Schizosaccharomyces pombe: one gene and its partners. Changing the gene in region 2 together with the main gene of any one other region gives a genetic interaction. Each region holds a gene or a part of one and is shown on either strand. Other genes may lie near its edges.

Region 1 (4,348 bases), on a different chromosome or scaffold from region 2:
AATCATGCTATCCTTGCCGAGCTTCAGAGTGTGTTTAATCTTTTGCCTAACATTTTTAGCGGTCCTGTGGTTTCAGAACAGGCCTTGGAATCAGAGGCACAACGTGCTTTCAATGTGAATTCCAATGATCAGTTGATGTCCATTTATATTTCCAGCATCGTGAGGGCCGTGATTGCTCTTCATGATCTTTTGGATTCTTTGGCTGCTAGTAAAGCTATGGAACAGCAGGACATAAAGCCAACTGTTCAAAATGGAGAAGTTTCGGCTAATGCCGAACAAAAGGCTTAATCACTGTATTCATACTATCCATGTCTGGCTTCTATCATTTGTGGACTCCTCTTTCTGAGATTTAACGACTTTATCTAACGTAGGTTTTTTATTTCAATGTCTAAGTATCATAGAGTTTTTATTTATATCTTGTCTTTTCGCAGACAGTTTTGCAGATATTTGTAACCCTCTTAACTTGTAAAAGTTACACGTCGGGTTCGGGTTTATTTGCTTGTATGTTAAAAATGATATGTCTACGTTTGTTAAATTGTATTTACGAAGGATAAAAGTGTAATTTTAAGTTAGTACGAAGAAATTGCATACAAAATATCATATTTTAATTTACAGTGATATGATGGATAGCTTGAGAAAAAACTTTTCATGAAAAGAAATCCTAGCAAACGCCAAGGTGTCAATGTTAAAAAGTAGGCTGACATTATATTAATGAAGTAAAAGGGAATAGGGATACGCGTACAGGTGACCAGCATCTCTTTCTTTGAGCTCTTTGATGAAAGTAGGTTCTAAGGAAGTTAAAAGAAACAGAAAAACAGCAAAAGAAGTAATTCGCATTTTTGGTTTTAATATCCATTTGATTCAAAAAGCTGCCATGCCTCGAAACAGTGAGAACCATTAGGATCTCCTTGGCAGCTAGAAATATCGATAATAGAGCATATAAGTAACGCATCCACACTGTGAAAAAGTTAGTATTTTACGCGAGGATAACTAAATATAATTACTCACATCATGCTGAGGCCGCCCTCTATGGCGCCAATGATAAGCCAAGCAAGGAATCCGCCTAAAAGTCCTACAATGTAGCCATAAAAGACACCATTTTCATGAATGGAATAATTCCACGAAGTAACGCCAACTCCTATAGCGAGGAGGGAACGAGCGGCTAGCAAAGTGTATTTAGAAAAATAGTAGGAACGTCGGCGTAATCCTACTCGGTTCAATTGTTCGATTTGATACAAAGCCTTGGACGCATTCATGTACGGGACTGAGTAAATTGATGCGTATGCTAGGGTAAGAGGAGATGTGACATACGAAGCAGACGTCTTTGAAAACATATAATATACAATACGCGAAACGTGTCTTAGCCATGTGGGTAGGAAATGCAATGGTACTTTGGTGATAACAACTAAAAAGGAAGAAAAGGCACATAAACCATACTGATTGGAAACAACGTGATAGAAAAAGTGAGAAACTAAATTGGTTTTGGTAGCCGAAGACTTAGTATCACGATAAAAAAACCATTGAGAAACAATTGAAGAAATAATAGCGCTACAATTGTGTTAGTAAAAAATCCGGCCAAAGCAATATAATAACATACCATTGAAGAGCATGAAAAAATGTGCACAACCATAAGAAATGAAGTGAATAAAAGGAGGCCAAGACCCAAGAACTTCTCGGCAAAACCCATACAGAACCAACAAGGGTAGAACCGCGCAAAAATAAGCGGGCAAACAATCTTACCCATATAAAGATTAAAACATAAAACGAAAACAAGAAGCTGATGAATATTAAAGTGATTTGAGGAATATCAGCTATAACACGACAAGCAAGCCGAATAATATTAAAGGAAGTTTCAAAATGAATACGACGCCGCCAAACATAATATGAAAGCAGAATGGGTGCAACAAGCAAAATTATCCCAGTTAATAGCATCAACTTTGGTTGAATTGACGTTTCCAAGTGGATCCTAGACGCTTTTAACAAGTAGACAGCAAAAGCAAACATGGTCAATGGGACCGATGCTAGCAGGAAGTACAGAAAACGAGGAATTGCGACAAGACAGAAGAGCCATATAACTGAAAGCATCATACAAATAATCGCATCTTTATGAAATAATGGAAATGCTTTTTGTATTGCTGCGTAAGGAGAAGTGGCTGGAGGAATATTAGGATTTGTCCGCCAAACCATCAGGAAGCTATAGGTAAAGAGAGCCAACGTCAAAAATCCAAATGTTAATCCCCATTTTCGATCTGGAACCTTCTGTTCTGATGGAAGATGGGCATCATAAGGTAATTCCGTATATTCTTCATTTACGCTTTCATGAGATATAGTCTGTGGATTCGGTTGAACACCTAAATTTTCGGAGAAATTTCCATTGTAAATAGAATTCTCTTTAGAAAATAACTCGTTTTCGTTCCTTGAAATATGAGAGTTTGACTGCTCTTGTTCTCGTAATTGCCAATGGATAGACCCAGAATCTATCAAGGAGTTCAAACCATGCAAACTCGAAGACCCGGCGCTCAAATCAGTCTCATGACTATCAATTGAGCTATTTCTGTCTATGCTAACACTCTGAAGATTCGATCTTGAGGTAGGATATTTAAAATTGCGCTGGTCAACAGAAGAGAATCTTGATTGTGCAAGAAAACGCGAAGCATCTACTCGTTAGTGTAACTTTCTTCTATTACTACTTACAATCGCTAAACATAGATTTGCTTCACGTATATAAAATCACTTTACTAGTCAATTTGAAGGAGTTTTGGAAATTGGTCGTTGGGTGCAAAGGGTTACTCATTCCTCTCCATTGAAATCTATATGACGAAGATGGTAGCACTTTGTGGCACTAACAAATATATCCGTTAAGCTTAATTGGAAACCTTCTACTACTATGAATTTAATAACCGACCTCTACATTTGCAAAAATTGCAATTAAATGTTTTTGCTAATACGATTTACTGTCGTTATAATAGAATGGGTATCAAGTATGTTTACATTGAAAATAATGATCAATTTCTTCATAAAAACGATAAAGGAGAAGAAGATAACTTCAGGTACTTTAATAAAATGCAATGCCTACGGCTAAAGCCTAAGGAAGAATTACCCGGTTCCGTAGGAGATAAGCATTAAATCCGCTATAATTCAACAGAAGATATGTCAAAATAAAATTATCATTTTGACCAACGAACTGATTTAAAAGCTAAAAAGTTGCTCATTTCAGTCTTATGCAATGCAGCGGTTTAATTTACAAAATGATTTCTATAAAAAATCGCTGTTTCAAGATTAAAATGTTCTACGTGCAATAATATTATACCATCAACCTCTAAATAAGAGAGACATTAGCATATTAAAAAAAAAGATAGGCAAAAGGAAGCAAAAACTTTAACTGCTCAAGCTAACTGTATCGCATTAAAATGAAATTTTTCTCCGTTTTTTATTAGAAGTTTTGGTAACCGTGTTTTCGGTGTTTAGCTTGTGTTTAGACGATGAAGTTGATTTCCTCTTGTATTGCAAAATATAGGCCTGTTGATTCAAAACTCGATCAATACTGGAATTGGAAACGAAATCATCGTCAAATTTAAGCCAAACACCATTACTACTTTTGCAAAACGAATAATAATGGCCGCTTCGGGTACTTCCGCCTGCATGTACAAGAACCCCAATTAATTCGTACCAACAAGAACAATTGGGATCTGACATATACGGACCGAGATTGAATGATTCAGGGTATGAAATTTGCTTACTGATTTTGCTAGATTGGAAACCGTTGAATGTGAACCGCTTGAAGTGAATGGTTAAAATATTTGGTGCCCGATAAATAGTCATTTGCTTGGACGCATCCACCAGTTGCTTACAATTTTCACATCGATATTTGTTTTGTTTGGTAAGTTTTTCTGCATGCACAAAATGCTTTAAGGAATCTGCCAAGGAGGAGCCCTTCGCATCCACAGATAAGTCAAGTAAAGCTTGGTAGGTGTTGGAAGGTTTTTTACAAACTGAGCATAGAATCTGCTGGCGTAGGTAACCACCAAAAATTCTGTGTACTACCGAAGTCTCCCTGCTTGGATGATCAAGATTTTTATGGTTTTGAAGACAAGACTTTTGCCAAGCATCAACCAAATATCGCATAAATTCATGAGCATCTTCTTGGCGATATGGGCGGAAATGACTGGAAATTACTTTGAGCATACTTTGTATACCTGAAGGTTTGAAGGCCGAAGCTCGTTTGGTGCCTTTGTTGGGATAGGCACGGGCGACATGTTGCTCCATTCTACAGAGTACACATGCATTCATACGGCAGGATAAAGAATGTTGACCGGATAAAAGATATTGAACCAACGGTGGAGTTTGA
Region 2 (7,716 bases):
TAGATTTGTTAATTAATTTTTATTAAACAGACTTAAATATAATAAGGAAATTGGCTTAAAGCCTTCTATTTTTCTACAAAAGCTTCATTAAATCATCAATACAATTTTATGTTCGTAAATTAATGGGTATCCATCACAAACAACCATGACTTTTACATTTCTGTTGCGGCAAGTTGGTGGAATATCCATTGAAATCCGAAGGGATAAACGAATTGAATCATCGTTTCTTCGCCCAGCAAATGAGGCCCGACGTATCGCGAACAGTTCTTGAGTTTCTGAATCTATGATGAGAACGAAAAATCCCTCACTTTGAGGTTTAGGGAACAACGGCGCAAAAATGTAAAAATCGGGGTTGAGCGGCTGATTGAGGCGTCGTAGATAAAGGAGTAGCTTATCTGAAGACGATTGAGAAACTTCAATGTTCATTTTAGGATACGAAATTAAACTATTGACCAGACTTTCTATATCAAAAACGTTAGGGTCATTACATAGCATTTGATATAACTCATCAGTTTTATTTCCTGCAAATTTGTTGAGATAATCTCTTGCTTCCTTTTCACTAGACGCATTAAGTCCAGGTAATGAAGCTCTGTAAATCTCACTCGGATAGCAAGCCTGTTTAAGACACTGCATTAGAGATATGTACTGTAAACAGACATGGGAGTAGCCTAGCTCAGCGGACACATCAATATAAGACTGTATAATACGAATAACCTGATCTAAAACCGTGCTAGTATCAGTAACATAATCATCCACTGGAAGTTTCAATCTTGCCATGTGAGCTTGAGTTAATATAAATGCCTTAACATGAGCATCGACCATAGGAAGGTTTAGGCAAGCAGCCGAATATTTCAGAGATTTATTAATCTCTATGTTTATCAAATCTTCGTTGTGACGAATAGCGAGATCGTCAAACTCAGATGCTTCAGCAAGCAATTGCAACGCAAGATCGAACTCAGCGTTCTCAGTTATTTTTTGAACGAAGTTTCTGATGGTGGTATGAAAAAGATAATAGTAACTAACTATACGACCCAAAGTTGTAGGTGCATAGGTTTCTTCGTTGACACGATATATGCAAGCTGACTTTTCAAGTTCATTAAATGCAGTCACAACAAGTTTCGATAAATAAGTATCTATACTCTTTTGGTCATCTCCATCAGCACCGTAATAAACGGGATTTTGATGAACTCTTCGATAGAAGTAAGTGCACGTTAAAAAATCCATTGCACCCTGTATGCAATCTATAGTGCCCGTAGCAATCTCGGCATTTAAATGGTTATCCAATACTTTATGTAAATAAGACTCTACTGGAAATCCACTATGTAGAAAGTGCTTATAAAACGACTTCTTAATATCCTGTACAAATATACGTGCCACACCAGAATTGTCAAATTGTGGTCGTCCTGCACGCCCTAACATTTGAAGCACATCCGTCAAATCCATGTCTTTATAGCCTCCAATTTTAGCATCGTAATACTCTGTTCCTTTCACAATTACCAAATGTGCCGGCGTATTTACACCCCATGCAAGAGTGCTGGTGGCGATGAGAATCTGAACTTTATTATTTACAAAAAGCTCTTCGGAAATTTTTCTATCATTTTCAGTCAAACCAGCATGGTGAAGTGCTATACCAAATGGTAAAGCCAACTTGAGGCTTTTATCTTCAACTTCTGAAACAATCATTTCTAATTCTTCTTCATCCATGTACAAAAATCTCCTAGGATTGTCTTCTAAACCACAAAAAGCTATCAAATCTTTTGCAGTTAATCTAGTTTGACGGCGCGACGAAACAAAAATTAAAACAGGTTGGGTAGGAGAGTGCGTTTTGATGGCTTGAAAAGCAGGCTTATTCATCGACATCATCCTTGGGCAATAGGCTCTACCAGGGAATCCATCGATATATATTTCTAAAGGAACTGGGCGCACGGAATGCCTAAAATTAAATAGACCATCTCTTATGTTAAGCCAATTTGCAAGATCGTTAGCGTTAGCAACAGCAGTAGATAAACCAAGAACTCTAACTTTCTTATTAGTTTGAGAAGCAACATAATTCATTCGGGAGACAATCATTTCAAGGACAGGACCTCGATCGCTACCTAATAAATGGATTTCGTCAAGGATAATTAATGAGACATCCTGAACATACTTCCTAGATTTCCAACTTCTAGTAATACCATCCCATTTTTCCGGTGTTGTAATTATGATATTTGCATTCGTAACAGCCTTAACATCCGGGTTAGTATCACCAGTTAATTCAATCATACTAATCCCCATTGGTTCAACTAACCTGTGTCCCCAGTCCTTTACTCTTTCCTTGACTAAAGCTTTCATTGGAGCAATATAAACTACTTTCGACTTAGGATAATTGTGAAGAGCTCTCCAAGTAGCTAATTCTGCGGCCATAGTTTTACCAGATCCAGTAGGTGCACCAACGAAAATATTTGTATCGGTGTGATAAATAGTGTGAAAAAATTGAGTTTGGACTGCATTAAAAAACGAGAATCTTTTAGCGCATATACCTTCTAGCACTGGATCGTGCAAAGCCGTAATTGGTAAAGGTTGAAGATCCAATAATTCTGTAATGGGATTGGAATCGTCATGAAAAACAACATTAGAAAGAGAAACCGGGGTAACTGTTTCAGCGCCTAGCCATTTATCTGATACTGCAATAATGTATAGTTGTGAGGGTAATGGATTAGACACAGGTATGGTAAAGGATAGTAAATGAGAAGTGCTAACGTTCCGTTTATTTAGGAGCAACTGTTCATGATGAAGAATCTCAAGACCGTTACTATCTTCAACAAATATCCAAAACATTTGACTGTTTCCATGATATCTCATGTCCCAATTAAAATTGGGAGTGATATTTAATACAAGTCGCAAAACGTTTTTCGTTAAAGGTAGCAAATCAACATTAATGTTTAAAAGAGGTAATTTGGAAATAAATTTTTTAACTGTAGGGCCCATTTTTCGGTTATGAATAAGATCACCAAGTTCTCCTGTAGACATGTCCGACAATTCTTCTAATGATAAAGACCCACACTGATTTTCCACTTTGACTGCAAGGTCATGTGGAAGATCAAACTGAAGTAAGGGGTGTTCAAAAGACCACTGCCTCCTATCAATTGACTTGTTTAAGCTAAGGATAGTAAATGCCGAGGCCCAAGTCCTTGACATTGCAATTTCGAAAAGAGCCCTAGTTATTCGACCCGCGTTTTGTGCAACATAATTTGTATCTGATGTTAGGGTAAAATCTTCTACATGCGCACGAGAAATGTATGACTGCAGAATAACGTTAACTTTTCCTGATGTATTCGAAATACTATCCCTCAACTGACAAGGACTACTGTTTTCCATTAGTGATTCAAGCTCACGATGCTCATTTTCTCTCGATTTGATTTGGGAAAACTCGCTGCATTGGCTCAAAAGAGCTATAATGTCTGCTTCCGACATTTTGCTTTTCAATAAATTATTTAATGTTGAGACAGTTTGATAATTGATATAGTAATTGGACGCGATTCTACCTAAATCTTTAGGAATCAGGTATCCGTTTTTCTTATTGTAAACGATCATTTGATTATCTGCCAGCCTTCCTGCCGCTACAGATACCAATTCTCTTCGCTTGCTGCCTAGTAAAGGATCCTCAACAAGTTCGTCATAAGCAATACCGTATACAAGTGGATTACGTCTCATCCTGATATAAAGATAAGTATAACCTAACCACGATACAGCTTCGTCAATATTAGTTACCGTTCCTAAAGAAACTTCAGCGTTTAAGTTGTCAACCAATCTATCGGTGAAACGAGATTCAATAGGGCTTTGTTGTGTTACAACGGAGATGTAATGAGAAAGTTTATCATGTGTCGTAATTATGTACGCGACTGCCGAACTTTCAAACTGAGGACGACCAGCACGACCGAATATTTGTAAAACGTCCAACACGCCAAGATCTACAAAAGAACCCTTTTGTGGATCATAAAGCTGAGTTCCTTTAATTAATACAGCATAAGCCGGTAAATTAACACCCCATGCTAGGGTAGCAGTACAGCATAAAATTTTAAGAATACCCATAGAAAACAAACGTTCAGTAAGATGTCGGTCCGATCGTAACATGCCAGCGTTGTGAATCCCCATACTGTATTTGAAAAGTTCTTTTAACTCTTTGTTTTTTGACTTTGAAACATCTCTTTGAGCTAGACTATATTTTTCATGTTGTGAGTTGTCCAACAAATCAGCCTCTCCCTCATGGAAAAATTGTTCCCTCAACTTCTTAGCTGAATTAATGGTTTCCTTCCTAGAATGTACAAATATCATTACCTGATGGCCTTCCTGAATCAGTTTCAAAACTTTATCAAAACAAGCTTCATCAATATTTGAGTTTACTATTTTAGGAGAACCTTTAGCACCGATGAAATGCTGTTCAATAGGGCATGGACGAAATGCAGATGAAAAATAAAACAATCCCTTGTACCTATTGACGCCTAAAAAATCAGCTACATCAAGGTAGTTTGGAAGTGTGGCAGAAAGACCAACAATTCTAATCATCTGTTGACTTGTTTCTACCAGCCTTTGTGTCCTAGCGACAAGTGATTCAATAACAGCACCACGTTCATCATGAAGCATATGTACTTCATCAATGATAACCAAACGTACTTTCTCGGCTAACTGAGTGTCGCCGACGCTTTTTCTAGTAACTACGTCCCATTTTTCAGGTGTTGTAACAAGTATCTGAGTTTCTGCTATTTCCGTTTTGGTTAGTTGCATATCACCAGTAAGTTCTCTAGTTTTCAATCCCAACCAAGCGAGACGTTTTCCCATTTTCTCTACAACCTCAGCAGCCAATGCCTTCATAGGAGCAATGTAGACAATCTTAAAATCATCTCTATGAACATCTAGAGGTTCCGATTCATCCATAAGATTCATACTTTCTACATAGTTGGAGATTGTTTGCAACATTGCGAGCAGAGCAACATCAGTTTTTCCTGCACCTGTAGGTGCACAAATTAACATATTCTCGTTTGTCTTGTAGGCGATAGGATAGACAAGCGATTGGATTCTGTTCAAAGTTTGGTAGCTAAGGAATGTTTTTCGACAAAGAATATCCATCGAAGAAATTTCTAACAACTTTTCCCCTTGCATTTGTGGAGCACGCTGAGCATGAGGAACAATAATCTCTTCATATTTCTGGTAATCTTCTCTTTCACTACCAGCCGGTAATGCAAACTTTTTCCCAATGACGCTAATAGTATTACCAAGCCTTTTATCCCCATACACATGAGGATATTTTTCCACTTCAAAAACTTGCTGTCCAGTAAATAAAGGACCTCTGTTATCACGAGACCGACTAAATCTTCTCGGCCTACTTTTTAAACTGTCTAATAATCCCTGACCATGCGTAGCAGAAGAACCAGCTTCAGAGGTATAGCCATCAGAAAGTTGCGCAGCAATTGAAGTATCATTTTGATTCATGTATTCTTCTATTAAATTGGACGAATTAGCGACGATATCTGAAATCAAGTCAATATGATCAAGTCCAACAAGATTCAGTAAATCTTCTTGAATGGCACATTGATCTTCAGTCGCTTTTAGGCTCATAATGACTGCTTCAAATAGTACTGAAGCATCAAGTTCAGTACTTGAAGATTGAGAAATTTCATTGCAGCAATTTTGCAGCCAAGTTAAATCTTTAAGAGCAAATTCATTATTGTCGGAGTCAGTAACGTCCTCGGGATTGATTAAATTATAATTTGTTTTCAAAATTTCGTCAACTTTTAACGATAAAGCACCTAGCTCAGCATTCGAATCACTCAGCGAAAAGCTATATGGAGTATCACAAAAACTAGCAGGACCTAGCTTTTCTAAGTGATTCACTACATAATTTAACTCAACTTCCATGAAAACTGTAAAAGGATAGATCGTTGAAATTAAAACCTCCTTAAACAGAAAAAATTTGAATTTTTATTGCTTTTATAGGATTGTATCCAATATACTACCCAATTTAGCACTGCTAGTAGTGTAGGGGATGGTTTGTAAACAAATGGCCACTACCTATTATTTGTGTAATAGAAAAATACCGTAGTCGAAGGTATTATGTGTGTACATACGATTGCAAGAAGTATGGCGTTTTCAACCAAAGCAGAAACAAACTTAACCCACACCATTAACTTGATTTACAGCATATTTACAGAATGAAGCTGTATTCTGTCTCTATACTCCGCTTTGACCCAAAACCAGTGCAATTATTATGCACTGCCTCAGACTTATCTAGTTTCTCATTTTTTCAACGATCATCGTATGTGCAAGATTTAATTGAAGAGTAGTTTGTTAACAAATATTTCAGCATCGGAGAGTTCATGAATTTTTTTACAAAGACTGTTGCAGAACGTACTAATCCAGGGCAAAGACAAGACGTTGAACAGTCCAATTACGTTTTTCATGTGTACAACCGATCGGATGGGTTGTGCGGTGTGATTGCTAGTGACAAGGAATACCCTTTACGTGTTGCTTATACTCTTCTAAATAAGATTCTAGACGAATTTTTGACAAAAAATCCTCGCACCAAATGGGAATCTGGTGCTGTTACCCTATCCTTTCCAGAATTGGATACCTATCTATCAAAATATCAAGACCCCAAGCAGGCTGATACGATTATGCGAGTGCAACAAGAATTGGATGAAACTAAAGATGTACTTCATAAAACAATCGAGAGTGTCTTAGCTAGAGGAGAGAAGTTGGACGACTTGATCCAACGTAGTGATAACTTATCTACACAGTCTCGAATGTTTTATAAATCTGCTAAAAAGCAAAATTCTTGCTGTATAATAGCTTAATTATTTTATAAATTCATTTGTTTGGTTTTCCTTTCTTCCCAATGCCCAAATTATATCATATTTTTTCAAGTTGGTATTCTTGCATTTTGTTTGCTGCAATTATCGATTGAATATCAAAACCTTGTTAATTTTTCTGCGCCTGTTCCTAGAGTCCATGAAATTGTTCTTCTATCATTATCTTTAATCTGATCTTTTCATGACACGTTGTTTGCATTCCGGATTGCTTTTATGTTATAGAGTAGATTACTTGTTGAAAAAGTCTAGCATGTTTCAATGAGCATACACACTCTTCGTTGATGCTCATAGCATGAATGGTTCACTTTATAAACTTGTAAAGGAGATTTTTTTAAAGATTGTAAAATTATTGAGTTTGTTGGAGCGAGAAAACTATCGGGCTTTTTTCGTTACAGATTTTTCTATAGTTTAGATTTATCTTCTAGTATATATCAAGTTACACAAACTCAATTGTTGTTGGCAAGCAAAATGGTTTGGTAGTAATTTTCATTATTCGTTAATGCTATTATGCATTTCTTTGATAAAATAGTTCAAGAAAGGTAGTGGTTTGGTACCCTTCGTTTATTGAAGTAAAAGTTTGAAGGGTTGAGGAGTATGTGCAAGCACGCCATCAATATGCTGCAGATGCAGCTGCATCTATATTTTATTACCTTCCCGGTATAGGTTGCTTCTTCTTATAATAAAGCGATTTGCATGATCGAAAGCCCTCCTTCGAGCTAGGTATTATGGTGATTAATTCTCCATCCAGTGTATAGTAGTTTCCTTGATAGAGTTTTGCTTTTTCTTGGAATTGCTTTGCATCCTCTACAAAATGATTTTCCTTATTGTGCTGCATGTGAATGTGTGCAAGAAAATTGGTGTAATGGATTAG
Region 3 (3,518 bases), on a different chromosome or scaffold from region 2:
TATTCGTATGTTAATAAAGATTTGAACTTCGAGGAAGGATTGCCAAGAAGAAGGGGAAGACCTACAGGCTGGAGGAAGTATCCTGAAAAGGAGGAAATATATCCTACTCTGTCTCCAAGGATTAAGAAACCGAGAAAAGTTTTCGATGCTGTAGTCATTCCGGTTACCATAAAACCTAGTATATATACAGAGCCCTCGTTACCTCATCATATCGATTGGAACAATGGTTGTTCTGAGGAATTTGATTTTGAGCCATCAAGAGAGGATGAAGACTTCCCTGATTTAACTTCTGATTCTACTGGTCAAGATCCATTGTCTAGTGAGCCGACTATTTTTGACATTTCTCCATTACCTAGTGATATGGAGCCAACTTTTTCCGAAAATTCATTAATTACCATTAACAAAATGGCAATAGAAGAACGGAAACAATCACGTCGACTTGAGCAACCACTAGCTGAATCTCAACATCAAGAAGATTTGTTGAATCCCTACGGTGTAGATCAAGACTTTGATGAAACTTGCATCAATGAGTCTGAACAACAAGCCACGCATATTCCTAATTCAAGTATTAAATTTAACTATGATTACACTCCCCCTAAGTCTGCTACCTCCCATAAGCATAAGAGGGTCGATCTTCTAGCATCTCGGAAGGAGAATGTTTGGACTGGATTGTATGGGAAAGTACAAACTGAAATGGTTTCCAACAGAGGCGAAGCTGTGTTGAATGAAAATAATAGCAAAAATCGTACTAATGTCACTAAGCCGAATTCATACAAAAACAGTGTTTTATCAATTGGGAATAATCATTCAAACCATTCTAATATTATTAAACCGAACACCTATAAAAATACTATTTTGTCCAATGAGAACAATACTCCAAACTATTCTAATGTCTGTCTTTCTACCTCTTTGATAAATCGAAGCCTTCCATCTCTTAAATCTACTATGCACCCAGGGGTCAACAAAGATTTAATTACGCGGCCATTTAAGAATGTTAATAAAATGTCTGTACGAAAGGCTCTCATTAAACCATTTCATCCTCCGATTTCGAAGATTTCGCGAACCCGCTTAACTGTTTCCTCACCTGAACGGCTGTATTGTGCCAAGCCTATCTCAATGGCTACTGCTCCAAGTGAAACGGATAGCAAACTAATTAACAGAATCCGTAACCTTGAATTAGAAATTGGTGGCTTGAAAGAACAATTATCCGTTGTAGAGCTCGCTCTTGACACTGACAAAAATTCTAAACAGATACAGGTGGTTGAAAGAAAAATCCAAAATTGGCGAAAATCTGCGCAATTAGCAGTCGAAGTGCTATTTCCTGTTTTTTCTTTGAAGTTTACAACCATGCTTCAAGAAGTTCCACAGTCTGTTTTACGCACATCAGCTAATGATTTACGCACCAAGCCATGTTCCATTGGTACGTACCTTGAACAGTTGCAAATACCCTTCCATCTCCTTCAATATAATTCTGAGACAGAAAGCTGGGACCTGGAATAATATATGTTTTTAGTTTTTTCTTTGCTTCCTGTCTGTTGTTTCTATCTATTTTTGTTTTTTTTTGTCATATCAGTATTTTACAGTTCATGATTCACATTAAAGGTACTATAGTTATCTAATGTTATTTTAATAGCAATATAATTAGGAATCAAAAATTCATTTTATTATTTGCATGTTTACGTATATAAAAATCTATAACGGCGCTTGGAATAATTTTGCCCTTCGCGCATCTCACGATATACTTTCAGTAATACGAAAAAAATCGGTTCTTAAAACGATTAGGAAAATGAGCTCTAACAAAGTTACTGCGGCTATTATTGACTATTTGAAGCAAGCTATTACCACCGGTTCGATTTCTGAAGAAGAAAAGGAAAGCTTGGAGGTTGCTGGTATGTGTAACCCCATTTAAGATAATCTAACCAAAATCAGCTCAATGTATTCAAGATTCTTTTAAAATCAAACCAGAAGAAATTAAGCCCAAGTCAGGGGATCGTTTAGTTGCTGCTTTTGAGGAGTACGAAAAACTGCATCCAGTGGAGGAGGATTCCACTGCTCATGTTAATAAAGAAGAGGCTGAGAAATTAAAACTTGAAGGAAATAATGCCATTGCGGCAAAGGATTATCAAAAAGCTTTGGATTTATACACTAAAGCCATAGAAATCGATCCTACCTCTCCAGTTTACTACTCCAATCGTGCAGCCGCGTATAATCAGCTAGGGCAATTCGAAAATGCTGTAGAAGATGCTTTAACATGCTTAAGTTTAGATCCTCATCATGCTCGAGCCTTTGGACGACTTGGTCGTGCCAAATTGTCACTTGGCGATGCAGCAGCGGCAGCTGATGCTTATAAGAAGGGCTTAGACTTTGATCCCAATAATGAGGTTTTAAAGAGAGGTTTGGAAGCTGCTAACAAGCAATTGAATCAACCATCGGATTCATCCGCTACTTCTGGAGCTGACCAAGCTCGCACTTCTGCTGGTGCCGCTCCTGATCTTGGATCCATTTTTGGAGGAGGTATGCCTGATTTAGGTTCTTTGATGAACAATCCTGGTAAGTTTTTTAGTGTATACATTATTCATTGTTAATAAGTGATTTTAGCTGTTATGAACATGGCGCGTAACTTGATGCAATCGGGTGCTTTGAATAATATTATGAATGACCCTAATATTGCCAACATGGCCCGTAACTTTCAATCTGGAGGAGGTATGCCTGACTTGAGTTCTCTTGCCAATAACCCCCAACTGCAAAATTTGGCTCGCAATTTTATGAACAATAACAATAATGGCAACACTGATAACAATAACCAAGGAAATCCTCCCCCTCAATAAAGTATAGGTGTATATTGATTTGTTTGTTTTTGCTTTTCATTCAAGCAGTTTATATCTTGCATTTAAATTCATTTTGAATACTTGAAGAATTGCTTTGACATTTTTTAGTACCTTGCATATACAATCATTCTGCTAATCAATCATATTGTACATGTTTGTTAAGATTACCGTATTTACAGTAGCGTTTGCATCGTTTTTCGTATTATTTTTAAATAGTTCATCTAATTTTTATTGATAATTTTACAATAGCTTTCGTTGTATGAAAATAAGGACTTCATTAAACAATTCTTTTGAAATAATTCAATCCCCTTGACCCATCTCTTCTGTGCTTTCTTCTGCAGGTTCCGTCTCTGAGTTTGTTGATGTAAACAAGCTTCCAAAAAATGAACGTAGTCGGGTCATCACCGGAGTTCCATCTTCTGATTCTTCACCAACCTCCGATTCAATCTGTTGTAGCAATTGTTCAGCAGGAGGAAGATCAAACTCATGAGCAGGGGGTTCTTCCTCATTTTCATTAACTTCTCTTGCTCTGGATAAATAATCGGACAAGAACGACGCAATTCGACGAGATATATCTCTACCAAAGACTTGTGACTCGCTTAAATATGTATCAGGAGGTAGAGGATCAAAGGATAAAATAGTTCCTTGCAAGATTCTCTGTGGTAGAAATTTTCTCAAGCTTTGCTCATT
Region 4 (3,671 bases), on a different chromosome or scaffold from region 2:
AAGCTAGCTAACTTCCTAATTTCATGTAGTTGATTCTATTGCAATTTTATATGTACTTGAAGTGATAACTGTATTCCTTATTTTTCGTTAAGCTAATTTAACGAATATATTGATTGCTAAGTTTACAGTCGGCTTCATATTCGCTGCTAACCGTGTTAAACCTTTACCTCCCTTCTCTTGATTCAATCATTCACTATTAAATATAAGCATTATGTCGGTTTATACAATTGCAGGTCGTCAATTCCAAGCTCATCAAGTATGTATTTTTCAAATTCCGTACACCTAACAATGAACATAGTTGAGTTTAGCTGTTCTCGGTTCAGTATTTGTTGGTCCTGTGATCTATAGTAAATTGTTTAAAAGAAATAAGCCACTTAGCGCAAAGGATGTTCCTCCTTTGAATGCCAAAAGCAAAGAAGAAGAAGAATTCATTTTGTAAGTAAAGCTATTGCTCTATAGCGAGTGTTTGGAATATATTTACTAATACTACTTTATAGGAAATACATTGAAGAACATAAGTAGGAAATCCTTGATTACCGAACGGACGATTAGTGAGTGAAAAATTATCTTTTCATTAGTAATGAAATATCTCTATGTCATTAGGTAATTTTAATGTACACGTTGAGCAAATTTGAAGATGAATGAATACAATATAGCCCTGCAACATACCCATCAAAATTGCAATTAATTAATTGCTGTATAACTTAAAACTTTGTATTACCTCGTGTGATGGATGTAAGTATTTATTAATTAACAATAACATTGGGCTTCCAAATGTGTAATTCATTGTCATCAGCAACCGAAGCAATACATTGTGCCTCAAACGGATCAAAGTCCACTTCATTCACCGTACCTTTATGACCTGCATGCACAAACTCCAAAGGATTAGCTTTGTTAAAATTCCACACATAGCAATACTCTTGGCAGGCACTAACAATCCGACCAGAGTGTCTCCAGCTCCATGACAAACTGGTGCCTCCTAGAGTTAGTCTAGAAGGCACTTTTAATCTATTATCTGATAAGTCTTCAGAAGTGTTAAAAACCGATTTATTTAAGTTCCGAAGGTCCCAAAGCTGTAAATCTTGCTCAGACCCCAAAGCAAACAAAGTCGCAATTGAAGGATTATGTCTGACGCTAAAAAGGGGATTTGAAGCTTTAACTGTTTTCGAACATGTTTGTTGAAGTCGGTTATCACAAATAAAGGCAATTCCATTATCATTTACAGCAATATATAAGTTGGTGTGGTGCGGATGATATTCAACATCATTAACCGGAGAATCATCATAATGAAAATCCTTTACGGGAGTTAAGCACCTCGTATCACGGCTAAAATTATTTAGATCCCATTCTAAAATTTTCGAATCATTAGCAGCTGTTACAAGTCGGCAATTTTGCTGACGATTCCAAGATAGTCCAAACCCTTCTTTTTTGTGCCCAATCAAAGAGATATTTGGTAAAAATTCTTCAGCGGGCATTGAAGTATATTTTGTCCGATCAAATATATATGCATTTCCACAAGAGCTCATAGTAGCTATGATGTTTGGGTTTTGAGGCATGTGTCGAACACGATTTACATCGCCATTATGAAGAATTCGTTGCGAGATTTGGAACTTGCAAGAATGTTGCATACTATAGCCTCCTAGCTCACCAGTATCTTCATTGTAGTGTTTTACTGGATCCAATATAGTTTGATTGAAATCAGGTAAATCTAAATCTGCAAGCTGCAAGAAATTTGGCATCCCTTCAGCGGCATGAGTCCCTAGGAGAAGACGGTTTTTTAAAACCGCTTTTTCAGTGATCGATTCCATTGCTGAGAGCCATTGGATACTTAAAGAGGGCCATGTTAAAGTACGGGTTATTAGTAAGTTGTATAGATGTTTCGAATTTTTTTTCCAACGAAAATGATCCTCACTAATCTGATTCTCTAGAAACTTAATATGTTCGAAATTCTGCATATCCAGTTCGGTGTTCATTTTTGCATACTTTAACAAATTTTTAACAATTTGAGTTTAAACCACCTCTACCACCTCAAAAGAATGCAAGTGATTTTACTTTTAGAGAATGAGTTAAACTAAAATATCTGTCTATAAGCCACTATTTGCCATCAATATGTAAGAAAGTTTTGTTGGAAGGTATGTACATGGAAGGTTGAACCTACAACGTCGGTAGACGAAGCGCTTAGTACGAAATATGGATTACCATATACAGCTGAACAAATAAATGAAAAAAGAAACAATTTTATATCAAGAAGTTATATAATACTATGAATGATCTGCTATGCCAATATTGATTTTTAATATAGCTGTTTTCCATTATTATATTTTAAAGTGTATTTTCTCTAACTGTAAGTTAAAGAAGCAAACGAAAGTGGACAGAGAATATGATGGTAATAATGCAAGAATATTACTAAATAGAATGCAGAAATCTAACGATTATTAGCCGTGGGGATGACAGCGCTCGATTTCAATTAGGAGGCATTCATTAATGAGTGATTAATAAGGGAATGAACTTGTAATATATGTAACAGAGGTGCGATTTCAACTGTTGTTTGCCTATTCTGAGAGTTAGACTGTCATCCATTTAAGATATGTGATACTACGTGGAAGCTAAACACGAGGATTCAAATGCAAAGTATTAAACAGATTCATCCAACACGGGTACAGGAACTCTCTGTTTGACATTGGAGAAAAGCTGTATGCCATTAGATAACTGCTCCTCTACAGCAGAAACCGCCAACTCCATAAATTTCTGTTCATTCCATCTTCTGTTATCATGGAAACGAGATCTAGGTGTTCCCAAATAACCAAGCATACGGAAACAGGCAGTTGCCAGATATGAAGCCGCAAGGAGGAGCACAAACGCAGCAGTGAATGGCTTTAATGAAAACAATTTCCAAGGCCTATGTAGTAATACTCCAGAGTAGGTCCATTCCAACTTATAGTTTAAAATGCATGTCTTAGTAATGCTGTCCATGGACAAGGCGACGGTTTTTTTGCACTCAATATTATAATCTATTACTTCTACATGAGAAGACTGATTAGGCCATACACAAGTCCATTTTAATAAATGAGGAGCAACGTTAAGTTGGTTATGCTGACAAATAGCCAAATCATTGCTGTGCGAGCTACACGCTGGTCCTTTGCAATGAAGCCGTGGTCCATCATCAACGTTGGAGGATTCAGAACTAAATTTTAATGCTTGAATTCTGTCCAGAGAATAAGTATATGCATAAGTATTTCCAATAAATAATGCAAAGAATAATAATACAGCAGTCTTGACAACAAACATTGTGCAAGGCTGGTAGTTGTTTACTTTTGGTAACAACTTTAGCCTTTATCCACATTCGGAAGCCAAAGTCGGATATACCGATGTAAACACCGAATTCACCGCAAAACAACAAATTTTAAATTCAATAACAATGTCGCTATATGAAAATATGAGAAACTATCAACAATTTTAAATATACGTATACTACATAGTAGTAAGTCAAAAGAGAATAATCAGATATATTATTATTTTTCAACAGTTTTTCCTTTTTCTATAAATTAATATATGGGGAAACGGCCTTCATAAATATTATGAAAAACATCACCAGCGCTTGGACAGCTAAAAGTCCGAAATTCTGGTAGAACGAACTTCCAGTTTTGAACTGAAATCATTTAAAAAAATGT

The links.
Region 1: mutations in rqt2 (region 2) and ctl1 together harm fitness more than expected from each alone (negative genetic interaction), as found in Schizosaccharomyces pombe (one large-scale study listed by BioGRID).
Region 3: mutations in rqt2 (region 2) and sgt2 together harm fitness more than expected from each alone (negative genetic interaction), as found in Schizosaccharomyces pombe (one large-scale study listed by BioGRID).
Region 4: mutations in rqt2 (region 2) and pcf3 together harm fitness more than expected from each alone (negative genetic interaction), as found in Schizosaccharomyces pombe (one large-scale study listed by BioGRID).

What each region holds. Positions count from the first base shown.
Region 1 is NC_003421.2:391,478-395,825, forward strand, and holds ctl1 (choline transmembrane transporter family protein), read right to left. Parts: upstream 2,789-4,348; 5' UTR 2,708-2,788; coding exon 2,695-2,707; intron 2,658-2,694; coding exon 1,598-2,657; intron 1,549-1,597; coding exon 1,009-1,548; intron 958-1,008; coding exon 846-957; 3' UTR 545-845; downstream 1-544. Other genes in the region: proteasome regulatory subunit Rpn8, read left to right, coding at 1-288; ubiquitin hydrolase Ubp16, read right to left, coding at 3,406-4,348. UniProt on the Schizosaccharomyces pombe protein: Required for the normal organization of the preautophagosomal structure (PAS) and for the correct subcellular location of atg9.
Region 2 is NC_003423.3:3,743,981-3,751,696, forward strand, and holds the start of rqt2 (ATP-dependent RNA helicase), read right to left. Parts: upstream 6,030-7,716; 5' UTR 5,896-6,029; coding exon 88-5,895; 3' UTR 1-87. Other genes in the region: SNARE protein Ykt6, read left to right, coding at 6,189-6,292, 6,341-6,830; protein smp2, read right to left, coding at 7,492-7,680.
Region 3 is NC_003424.3:3,627,155-3,630,672, reverse strand, and holds sgt2 (SGT2 family TPR repeat-containing protein), read left to right. Parts: upstream 1-1,717; 5' UTR 1,718-1,786; coding exon 1,787-1,889; exon of another isoform or gene 1,890-1,929; coding exon 1,930-2,550; exon of another isoform or gene 2,551-2,598; coding exon 2,599-2,828; 3' UTR 2,829-2,998; downstream 2,999-3,518. Other genes in the region: DNA recombination mediator Swi2, read left to right, coding at 1-1,500; protein Rqc1, read right to left, coding at 3,129-3,518.
Region 4 is NC_003424.3:2,529,755-2,533,425, reverse strand, and holds pcf3 (CAF assembly factor complex subunit B Pcf3), read right to left. Parts: upstream 2,143-3,671; 5' UTR 1,974-2,142; coding exon 747-1,973; 3' UTR 549-746; downstream 1-548. Other genes in the region: atp19 (F0-ATPase subunit K), read left to right, coding at 212-256, 299-435, 498-522; protein meu29, read right to left, coding at 2,635-3,288; mug105 (ubiquitin-fold modifier-specific protease), read right to left, coding at 3,607-3,671.